Linked DNA regions of Xenopus tropicalis. The protein of the gene in region 3 interacts with the protein of the main gene of each other region in a biochemical or structural test. Links are inferred from orthologs where the notes say so. Each region holds a gene or a part of one and is shown on either strand. Other genes may lie near its edges.

Evidence for each region.
Region 1: the proteins of hspb1 (region 3) and cs form a complex in vitro, tested with the Homo sapiens proteins (2 studies listed by BioGRID). The link is inferred for Xenopus tropicalis from reciprocal best matches to the Homo sapiens genes HSPB1 and CS.
Region 2: of the proteins of hspb1 (region 3) and mapkapk3, one has a biochemical effect on the other in vitro, tested with the Homo sapiens proteins (2 studies listed by BioGRID and IntAct). The link is inferred for Xenopus tropicalis from reciprocal best matches to the Homo sapiens genes HSPB1 and MAPKAPK3.

What each region holds. Positions count from the first base shown.
Region 1 is NC_030678.2:137,309,168-137,312,066, forward strand, and holds the end of cs (citrate synthase, mitochondrial precursor), read left to right. Parts: coding exon 1-108; intron 109-450; coding exon 451-621; 3' UTR 622-2,308; downstream 2,309-2,899. UniProt on the Homo sapiens protein: Key enzyme of the Krebs tricarboxylic acid cycle which catalyzes the synthesis of citrate from acetyl coenzyme A and oxaloacetate.
Region 2 is NC_030680.2:127,556,338-127,560,559, reverse strand, and holds the start of mapkapk3 (MAP kinase-activated protein kinase 3), read left to right. Parts: upstream 1-1,305; 5' UTR 1,306-1,356; coding exon 1,357-1,551; intron 1,552-4,222. UniProt on the Homo sapiens protein: Stress-activated serine/threonine-protein kinase involved in cytokines production, endocytosis, cell migration, chromatin remodeling and transcriptional regulation.
Region 3 is NC_030678.2:94,196,589-94,200,814, reverse strand, and holds the start of hspb1 (heat shock protein beta-1), read right to left. Parts: upstream 2,859-4,226; 5' UTR 2,811-2,858; coding exon 2,429-2,810; intron 1-2,428. UniProt on the Homo sapiens protein: Small heat shock protein which functions as a molecular chaperone probably maintaining denatured proteins in a folding-competent state. Plays a role in stress resistance and actin organization.

The DNA.
Region 1 (2,899 bases), about 43 Mb from region 3:
AAACTGGTGGCTCAGCTTTACAAGATTGTTCCCAATGTACTGTTGGAACAAGGCAAAGCCAAGAATCCATGGCCTAATGTGGATGCTCATAGTGGGGTCCTCCTGCAGGTAGGGATAATCTAATAAATCCAGATTTGTAATTCAGATGTCATCAAAAGCACACATTTGAGTCATAATTGTATTCTGTCATTGGCTTTACGGAAGCCCACTTTTGATTGGTTCAGTGGTGGTAAACTAAGCTAAAAAACGTGATTTTGCTCATTGGAGTGGGAGCATTTATTGTAACATTTTCTCTACATGTCTGTATACAAACCGGCTTTGAGTTGGGGAGTGTTAGGACCATAACATTGCATGTGCACAGTACAAGGGTGACCAAACTCAAATGCATTTGAATCCGTCCAAAATTCTCTCATTGCTTAAACCCTTTTTACATTTTTTTCGCCCCAACAGTATTACGGCATGAAGGAGATGAACTACTACACAGTTCTCTTTGGCGTATCGCGGGCACTTGGTGTTCTGGCTCAGCTTATCTGGAGCCGAGCTCTTGGATTCCCCCTGGAAAGACCAAAATCAATGAGCACAGATGGCCTCATGCAGCTGGTCGGATCAAAGTCTGGCTAATCAAAACGGGAATCGCCAGGGCCCCTCCATTTTGTATAGAGGGCTCTTTAAAAAAAGACAGTACACCTTTTGTTTCAACGGACTGCTTTGCACCCCACTGTTTTCTGAATTCCGATGAGAAAACATGTCTGGTTATTTATGCTGAAAATCCATCTTGCAGCTCAGTCTCAGCCCCTTTTCTTGCTGAAGAGATCTGTATTCAGTTCTCCATCAGGAAATGGGATCTTGTGCTGCTGGTTAGAATCAGAACTCTGGAACCCCCTCAGTCACAATCTGTTAACTCACAGACCCCATCATTCTGCTTATTTATAATTCAGCCACGGGCAGTCAGTGCCTCCTAATTTTGTTACTAATCTGCAGAAGCAGTGGCCCATAGGTTTTCATACACAGGCTTGTATGGCACAGCAGCCCCCTTTATATGTCCCATTGTGAAACGCAAAACCTGCTATAGACTTGCCTGTGCTTAGCACAACACTGCGCCTGGCTTCATATCTTCAGGAGCATGGGTTTCATTCTCTTACTGGGAAATGTGATTATGTTTCTGCAACCATTTAACTGCTGTAGGTTGGCTGAAGGGCCTGCAGGGCAGGAGAAGATTAAAGTCAGCAGTATTGGACTTTGGAGGCCATCAGAATATACTGTCAGGCAAGGGTTTGGCATTGTATCATCCCCACTTGTTCTTATCCCATGGATGCTCCTCATCTATCACTTTTTGTTTTTAACATGTAGGTTTTTATGTAGGTGGACAGATAACCCTGCCTGCTGACCACAGTGAAATTATAAGGGAGTAGAAATGTCCATGAGCAAGAATTATTGTGGATGGGTTGCTGCTTTTAATGTCCCCCTACTAAAGTAAGGCTCTACTGTCGTTATGCTTTTATTTGCAGCTCTTTTTATGTGTTCCAGCACTCTGGATCCTCCTGTGCTGTACTGGGCCTTAAAATATTGCTAACGACCTTTTAGTGCTTTACAAACACAACTGTGAATTCAAAGGATTCAGTTAGAGAGAGTTTCTACTGGTTTGTTTTTTTTTTTTTTGTTTTTTTTTTTAAAGCTACCTTTACTTTAGCCCCTTCCTTGCTTGTGGCAGCAGTCTAGCAATTCTTGCCGCAGTGATCAGCTCCCATCATCCCAAGGACTACAAAAGCCTGGGAGCCTTAAGCATTGCTACCCTATGGGGTCTTGTTTGATTACAGGGTTCTGCTATCCAAAGGCCACAGTTGGACTGAATAAATGCTCATTATACAGTGTCGGTGTGCTTGTTAGTGTGCATTTCCCACTCCTTCTGCACTAGTTCATTAATCCTCAGAGATCTGCAAGTGCACTTTCCCAAGCTGCTTAATTTGTCTTCCTCTTGTGCAGGAATGTCAGGCTGCCAGCCCTTTTGCAAAGTCTAGTTAGTGATATTAGGACTCATAATTCCCAGCTGTTGGGGGTTACAGTTTGGCATCTCTGCTCTACAGCATGACTGTCCACCTAGAGACCCAAAAAGGGATCCTGTGACCCATTTGTTAATACACTCCTGTCCACCTGTCAGCCTTTTCCCATGTGGTATTGCCTAACCTGTTCTTGTCAGTGCAGACTAATTGGCCATCAAATGCTCTGCAAATTATGGATTGATATCCCAACTTACCAACAGACTTAAGGTTGTTCTGTATAAATGCAAAATAAATGTTTTTATTACCTACATATCTGTTGGCCTCTAAGGATCATGCTAAGAGCACACACACACACCAAATATATTCTAAACTGATGCATGCTAATGACATAAAGGACCCTATATCTAAAATACAAATATGGATTTAATTTATATTGTATATGCATATTTGTATTAAATAATGCTAGCTGTGCACAGCACTGTACATTGAAACAATACCTAGTGTATATATAGCAACAGATGGGGAGCAGTGTTATAATGGAATAGAAATAAAAACAAAAATACTACTGAAGATTGCTAAGTGTAAAGAGTAAGGAGGTCACTGGCCTACAGAGATCATAAAAATTCACTGGGCATGCATAAAACTGCAAATTTTTCTGACCTAAAGTTGTGAGGCTTTACTGGGGAAAAAGCTGTGTAAATGTCACTACTTCTTCCTGTAAAGCTTCCCTGTGTGTGCCAGCCCCAAGCTTTGCATATAATGCAGTCTCTTGCTTTGTGCAGAACAGAATGGGAATGACACCCCAGTAGGGAAGGAGGAAATGACACCCCAGTAGGGAAGGAGGGAATGTCATATGTGGCTCTCTCTCTGAATTTCTCTCTGCCCCGGGGAAATTGCCA
Region 2 (4,222 bases), on a different chromosome or scaffold from region 3:
TCTGGATTGTTTCAGCCAGCTGAAAACCTGTAAAACCTTACCTGCGACTTAACCTGGGGAGACAAAAAAAGCAACATTGGGGTCGGAAGACTCAACAGGGCTGCTACCCCAGGGACCCATACACCCACTCAGGGGCCCCCAACCACCTGCTCACCTACCACCAGCCCCTTCCCCCCACATGCATACCTCATACTTTGCCACAATCAGAGGAGGGCAGCTATGGCAGTGGCAGCAGCAGGAGCAGAAGGTCGGGATTGGGTCTGTATCGGTGGGGCCCATGAGGTCCCACTGGGTTTTTTCCCCAGTGTCCTGCCGGCTCAGTCCAACCCTGAGAGACATTGGGTACTACAGCTTCCAGCATCCATGATACAGGCTGTTGTAGTGTTATAACCAACGTTGAATTGGATACCTGGGGTACATGGCTGGACCCTAACCCACCCTCTACCAACCTAGACAATTTAGCATGCTGTGAGCTTTTATATATATATACTGCCCACGTATAACATCACTGGGGCAGGGTGGGCACGAGTATATAAGAGAGTATATAAAGATAGGCTGCCGGGCTGAGTCAAGGGAGTTCGGGCTGGAGGTACCCATGAGGACCTGGGCCCACCTGTTCTTTTCCTGGTACCCGAGTGGGCTAGTCTGACACTGGTCACAACATAATTTGTATGTATATTTTATTTATATAGTGCTTTTTATGCACATACCGCTGACAGAAGAACAATAAATTAATACAACAAACAGTGTGTCATTACTGTAATAAATACAAATAAATACTTAGTACAGTTGCATTAAAGATTCCACACAGCTTAGTGTCAAGTGGATGGGGTCCCTGCCTTGTAGAGCTTACAATGTAAATAATAGTAGGAGAGCTGCAAGTTTGAAATATATATTCTAAACAGCTGTTTATAGTCATATATATTCTAAACATCTGTTGGGAATAACAAAATATGTATTTTTGTCAAACTTTCCCCTGATGTGGCCCCTGTGATGCCTGGGATTCAGGGCAAATGCCCTTTCTCCCCTACTTTAATACTAGCCTTGCAGCTAAGGAGTTCAGAGGTTGTCTGTGTTTAGCAAGAAAATATATAGTTCTTTCATTCTCATAGGAAAGCAAATTTCCTAAGGCTGCCTCACTAGCAGTAAAGACATTAATCACCAGGCTGCCCCTCCTACCCCCTTCCTTCCTCCCTCCCTCACTCAGCCTTGGTGCCTGTCTCTCCTCCCACCCCTTCCTTGGTACAGGCACAGATGAGCTGTGGGAGGCTCTTGTCACAGTCACAGGGACTTTAGCACTAAGCTCCCGACATGAAGCTTTGGCTGGTGGCTGGCAGAGAGGCCTAAGTTGGCACTATGGAGGAGAATGCCAATGTCCAGGAGACGGGGGACCAGGAAACCCTCCCACCAGCCCAACCTGTTAAGCTGGAGATTAAGCGACATGCCATCACCGATGATTACAAGGTGTCAAAGCAGGTGCTGGGTCTGGGGATCAATGGCAAAGTGCTGGAATGTTACCGCAGGGACACCGGGCAGAAGTGTGCACTCAAGGTTAGTACAGCATGTTGATACAGAACCATCTAGAGAGAATGAATGCCACAGAGACATGTGAGAAGTGTGGGTACAGTGAGAGGGGAAGCCTGGAGAGGGGAATGTGAGAGTTCAAGTCTGTATATGGGTACAATATAAGGGTTAGGGGCAGGGATAATACAATAACACTACTAAGTTTATCTCGTACACAGTGCCAGTTTTTTTTAGGACAGCATAGAGAGTGCCTTTGTCCATCACATGGACCCCTGGGGTGGAAAGTTCTGTATACATTAGTACAAAGTATACATTTTCTTAACACTTGTTAGATATATACAGTACACCAGGGATGTCCAACCTACAGCCCTCCAGCTTTTGTTTAACTACAGTTATACTTCAACAACAGCCGGAGGGCTCCCTAGTTTAAGTAACACTCCCTCAGAGCAGCCCATTATAGGGTCTTACCTTATTGCCAGGGGATGCCTCTTCTCTAACACCGGCTGTGTGCCCAGTAAGCTAGGAGAGGCATGTGATTAATATACTGAATGTGGCAGTCGGGAGTTAACATACAACTCTGTAATTAGTGAAGTTTCGGGAAGAGATATGAAGCTTGGTTAGAGGGCAAGCTGAGAAACATGATAGGGAAGTGTGCTTAGTTTCAGGAGATCAGCAGTAGCGTGTTCTTAAGGGAAAGCATGCTTCTGGATAGTGTACAGACCTACATGTATCAGGGAGGTTTAAACTGGTAATGCGCAAAAATATTCATTTTATTGGTGAGGCCACCAAATGAGCAGATCTAGTCATATACAGTAGGTAAGTGGCTTAATCAGACTGATCTGAGTTGTTCAGCCATGAGGCCAATCACTAGAATCACAATAGAGGCCTATGCACACCCACAGGGAGAGGACCACATCAAAGGCATGACGAGTTCCTCCACCAAACCTGCCCAATGGATATGTAACCAGCCCCAAACATTAATAACTGACTTGGTCTGAGGTCTATATGTGGCTAGTTTAAAATGACCTTATGCACACTGAATCAACCTGTCTGGGATCCAGGTAGTGGGCCAAATCTGGCTGATGGTTTAGCCTTTAGCCAAGGACTGGATCACTGGGTGTCTGTGCAGTGCTGTCAGACACAAAGCCTGATACAGTTCTTAGTTGAAGGGATTTCTAGCCTACCCAACTAATGATAAACTATTAAGAGGAAAGGCGTTGTCCTGGGCCCATATTAACTCCTGTAGGCTGACCAAGTAATCAAAAGTGCCCTGGTCAGCAGCCAATATTCACTCAGGTGTATGGGCACCTTAGTGCCCCTTACATTGGAAACCAGACAAATTCTCTTTCATTTCTAAAGAACTGTTTGGACATTAGTAACAGAATGCACAGAAACTATTAGTTTCCTCCACATTTTAACTCTTAGAAATATATATTTATTGAGGTGCTGCAAATCAACAGAAAATTCTTCTTTATGTACTTAGTCAGGCCATAAATGAGGTCACTAAACAAGCAGATTTCTCACCAATATGCCCACGTAAGGTGAGCGATATCAGATCACAATGATGGGGATACAGGCCATCAGGAAAGGACCACATCAACAAGCCTATATGGCCCTTGATTTGGCAGGAAAATCATACCCGCCCGATCAAAATCTGGCTGAATTTTAACCAGATATCAGTCGGGGGGGGGCTGACAGAGGGCCCCATACACAGGCAGATAAGCTGCCGAATTGGTCTGGAGGCCTGAATCGGCAGCTTAAATCTGTCCATATGGCCACCTTTAGTTTTACAAAATGTCCCACTGCTATATATATATTTATCTACATCCAGTTTCCATGCAACTAGTTTGAGACGATTTGCATTTGAAATAGTTTATTCAATACAAATTTGGATCCGAGTGATGCCTCGTACACATGTCGCATTCTCCATGCAAGGCAGCTCATCTCGAAAATCTAATCTGTTGTCTTCTAATTATATCATTAAATACATTTTTTGAGGTTGCTAATGTATGTGCTGACTCTTGCATAATATCTCTGTGGCCTTAATCACATCACTTCATTAAAAAGTGCAATTGATTCCCATACTATTTCTCCGGGGCTGACAGGGAACGCTCAAATCCATTGGGCTTCCTTACATTACAGTTCTGCTGCATTTGGAGCATCTGTAGAGCAAGGCCATGGGTATGCATAATGTTTCTCCAATTGTTTCCATCTATGTAAATGACCAGAGGAAATATCTTCACTGGCTGAAATATGAAAACATGCTGCAGCTTTGCACAACGGGCAAATATTATTTTACTGCCCTGCAATACAAGCCAGTGGATTTAGGTATCTGCATCCAATGTAGGTAATACACATATAAAACACCTTGATGAAAAGGGCCATTATATAGGCCCCATCAAAACTTGGGTAAAGGTGAGCAACTGAATTAATGATTGTTTCCAAAAGAGGGTGGAACTGTTATAAAATTAAAAAACTATGTTAAAAACTGATGGCTATTCTCTGAGATGGAATATGAGAAAAAAAAAGCTTGTTGGATCGTACACTGAGAGAAATGGAAATGTCTGGTAATTACTTACCATGATGGCGCACATGCGCAGACAATGTGACTTAGTTGCCTTAGCATCTAGTGCCCATACCCATATAGATGCTCTAATAGCAGCAGCACTGGGCAATCAAAAGGCTCTGTTGCCGACCT
Region 3 (4,226 bases):
TTTGGGTCTATTGATACATGATACATTCAGCACATGGTACAGCTTTACCCTTGAATATACAATACCCCAGTTACCCTCAAAAGACTTGCGCTGCTAATGGCATATCTAATAAACCTTGTCTCTTTCTACTCTTAAACACGACTGATAAATGCATCTGATGCCAGCTTTGTGTTCTAAGGCTTATCAATGATAAGTCTACAGCACAGGGCTGCCTGGACTGTGTTGAAACCATTTCAAGATTATTGAGCAAGCCGACTTGCTTAAGGGCCATGGCCCACAGGGATATTATTCGCAGGGAACTAATCTCCCCAAAATGCCTTTCCACTTGCAATATAATGAATAACCTGTGGGAAAAAATATGCAGCATTTTGTTTTCCATCTGCTATTCACTTTATTTCCTGTGGGAAGGCATTTCAAAGAGATTAGTCACCCACAGTAGCCAAGATTTAACCACGAGTGACCAATCTCAATGGCACAAGAGGAGATTAGTCGCCTGCAACAAATCGTTATTGTGGACCTTTAATCTCCTCCAAATGCCTCAATGCCTATAGTTTACTTGCAAGGCAACTTTAACAACTTCATAAACCTAAAGTGATGCATATGTTTTCCCACTAGCAATTTGCATTATTGCCAGATGGAAGGCAAATTGAGATGAATGCAAGTAGGTGCAAGAACATTGGTTATGCCATTTTTATGAGAACTTCTGTGACCCTTTTTGCCCCGAGCATTCATAAATTAAACCTATTATCTAACAATATGATTCCTCTACTTCCCCTAGTTATATATAACTATTGTAATCGCTGCCACCTGCTGCTCTATGTGAAATTTGTCAGCACCCATACCACAGTTTCAGTGTGGTCTCCCCCACCCCCATTACATTTCTACAGTTTACTGTGTGTTAAATAGACCATAGGATATGTTTTAAAAATGAGTTGGAAAAATGAGCTGAGGCAGAAATAGAGATGATCAAGTTTTCTATTTGCAGAAGTATCGTATGATTATTATGATTTGTGCACAACAATATTGCCTTTTTTCTGTGAGTGTGTGACTAACCAAAACTTGAAGGAGAAGGACATGATAGAGAGGCAAAATAATGTCATTATATAAAATAACTAACTGTAAGCTTAATTACTTTACAAAAAAAATGTTTCATGAGATTCCTCTTTAATACTGTCCTTTAATACTTCAGTCCTAGCTATTTGTAGCTGCAATGCTGCAGAGTGACTTATATATATATATATATATATATTATATATATATATATATATATATAGACAGCAGTGGCGTGGAGAAGGGGAAGCAAGTGGTGAGCAGGGCTAGGCGTGCAAAATCTATAAATCCGGCCCTTACAGTACTGCATAATAATTTTAATGGGTAACAAACTAGGGGAAATATTTATCATGTGTAAAAAGTGGACTGAAACACTAACTGTGACATTGCCTAGGGCACCAATCAGCAATTAGATTTTAAACCAAAGCAAACATCTGGTTGGCTGCTATGAACAGCAGCACCGGTAATGTTTTACTCCCACTGCCCCCTAACTTGTTTATCATTCAAGCACACAAGTTAGGGAGTGAAGGCAGATGCTAACTGCAATGGTGCTCCTTACAACCTGTCCAGGCTGTGATGATAGGACTGGCTTATGAAGCTGCATTTTAAGGCAAAAATGGAGAAGGGACATGCTGTTGTGCCCCTAAGTGCACTTGCTCTTCTGCTCTAGGTCTACATAAATTCTATATAAATTACCTCCAGTATATATGGCAGATGATTCTGCTGGCAGTAGAGTAGGTTGGCCATAGTTAGGAATTGATTTGGGAAGTTTTAAGTAGGGGTAGGTCTTGGACCCAATAAACTGTATTACAGGGTAGAGATAAAGGAAGTGCCGCATTGGCCTTAGAAACTTCAAGGTGGACATTTAAGAGCCCAGTCCTAGGTGGAGCTGGATGTCCTTGGTTAGGCTAGCTAGGTATGGGTTATTCCTCCGAGGTGAGAGGCAGGTACGTTAGCTAGCAGGGGTAGCTGTGCCCAATGAAGGAGACAACCGTCACATGTGATTTTGTACCAGAAAACAGAGTGTGCCTTTTCATTCTAGGCATGACAGAGCTGCATAGGTAAGGAAGTCACCTCTTGGAGATGGTCTCAGTATGGCTTTTGTTTAACTTTTCTATCATGTTGTATCCAGGCTATGGTAAGGAACTAGGTGTCCTTTGTCCTATGAGCTTGAAAATCGATTACAAAATTGCTTGAAAGTTCAGGGAAATGTAATTACTTTGCAACCAGTGCAGCCCTGCTAAGTGCATTTATTAGAAGTGGTAATGCAGTGTGTTGGAATTATACAGCAAAACAGTATGTGAAAGGCATTTTTTAAAATAATCAATGTAGAATGTTATACTATTATTGCTAGTATATGAGGTTAGCCATGCCATACCTGTAATTTCCACGATGCCATCTTTAGTTTTTATGACCAGCTCCTCTGGGGCAAAATGGTTGACATCTAAGCTGATTTTCCATTGGTCTGAAGTCTGACGGATCTCTGAGATTCCACTGCTAAGCTGGCGGCTGAGGGCACGATTAAAGTCAGGAGCAGTTGCACCAGCAGGTGTGGTGGGGGGGACAACTTCCATGGACTGGCTTGGAAGCATGCGAACATAGCCTGGCCAGCTGGTGCTGGGCCATTGGTACCAGTCCTCGGGAATACGTGGCATACCGAATGACTGATCGAAAAGGCGACTGGTGCCTTGGTACCAGTCCCGAAATGGGTCCCAGCTTGGAGTGCGGAGGAAGGAGAATGGTATTCTGCGTTCTGACATTTTCTCTAGACCTGTGCCAGCTAGTAAGTGCTCTTTACTCTGTTCGGCCTGTGGTTGCTCTGAGGGTCTGGAAGGTGCAGCGGCTTTATGAAGAGCTAGCTGGTTATTTTTAGCTGATGGAATGAGCATTCTATTAATGGAAATTACACATGTAGTTGTGATGGAAATGTCTGGCATCTCTGCATGACAATACAATGACAGGGCACTCTCTCATAAACTGGGTAAACTTAACTTGTAGCCTTCTCAAGTTCCCAAGGGGGTAAAGGGTCTATAAACTGATGCTTTCTCTATTGATGACTTTGCAGAATACATTTTAGGAAAGCAAATTAGGGTAGAATGTAGAGAACCTCATGGCAACAAATTAGATGTTTGCTTTCATTGTTCTACCTACTCCTTGTTTAAATAAGCTAATCATTGACTTGCTGCTATGGGTTACTGACCAGGTCCAAAGTTGCCTACTGTAAAGAGGTAAAAAGATTATTCCTAGTTTTATTTTTAACCATAAAAGAAATGAATTGTTACATGAAGAGAAGAATATATTAACATTGTATTTTTTTCAACATTGTTATAAAGCACCAGCATACACCATATACAAATACTTAAAGGAGAAGAAAAGGTAAAAACTAAGTAAGCTTTATCAAAAAGGTCTATGTAAATACAGCCATAAGGACTCACAGAGTCCTCTATCAAAAGAAACACAGGATTTCTTGTCTCCTTTTTTGTAAACATGTTCTTAGGGTATCTGACTTCCTCTCTCAAAAAATCCTTCATTCCTGGGCCCTGAGTTGGCTTAGTTCTCTCTCTCCCTTCTGCTCCCCCTTCCCATAAGAATACATAAAACTTATTCCCCCCATCCTTAGGAATGTGTAATATGGGCTATCAGCCTCTAGATCTACTGCAGGAAGCTATGAACCCAAGCTAAAATGGCAGCTGCACAGAAAACAGAGAAAGCTTCTAGGAATCTTTACTCAGGTATGGTAATGCTTTCTGCAGAATAAATATAGCGTTCTAGGTGGCACTAAAGTGGAGAATCTATTGGCAGTAAATTGCCAAAATGACTTTCCTTAGCCTTTAAGCGAGCCATCCTTATAAGATCTCTTGACTCAGAATATAACAATCTACAATAGCCCTTGCAAAACTACAGAGGAATTTTTTACACTATTTTGAGAAAGAATGAGAAAGCTGTAATAAAATTCCAGTGTTCATTAAAAATGTGTCACTAAGATATACCCACAAAGTATTATGTGATGTTTCATGAACTGTGACAACCAACTTAGTCTGTTCTTCATTGTGTTTTTCATAATCAGAGCCATGCATAACATGTAACATATTTGCTTTTAAAGGATGCTTAGTGGGATTGCCATCATTGTGGTGGACCAGGACAAAGTGGGCAAGACAATGACGTTAAAAAGTAGG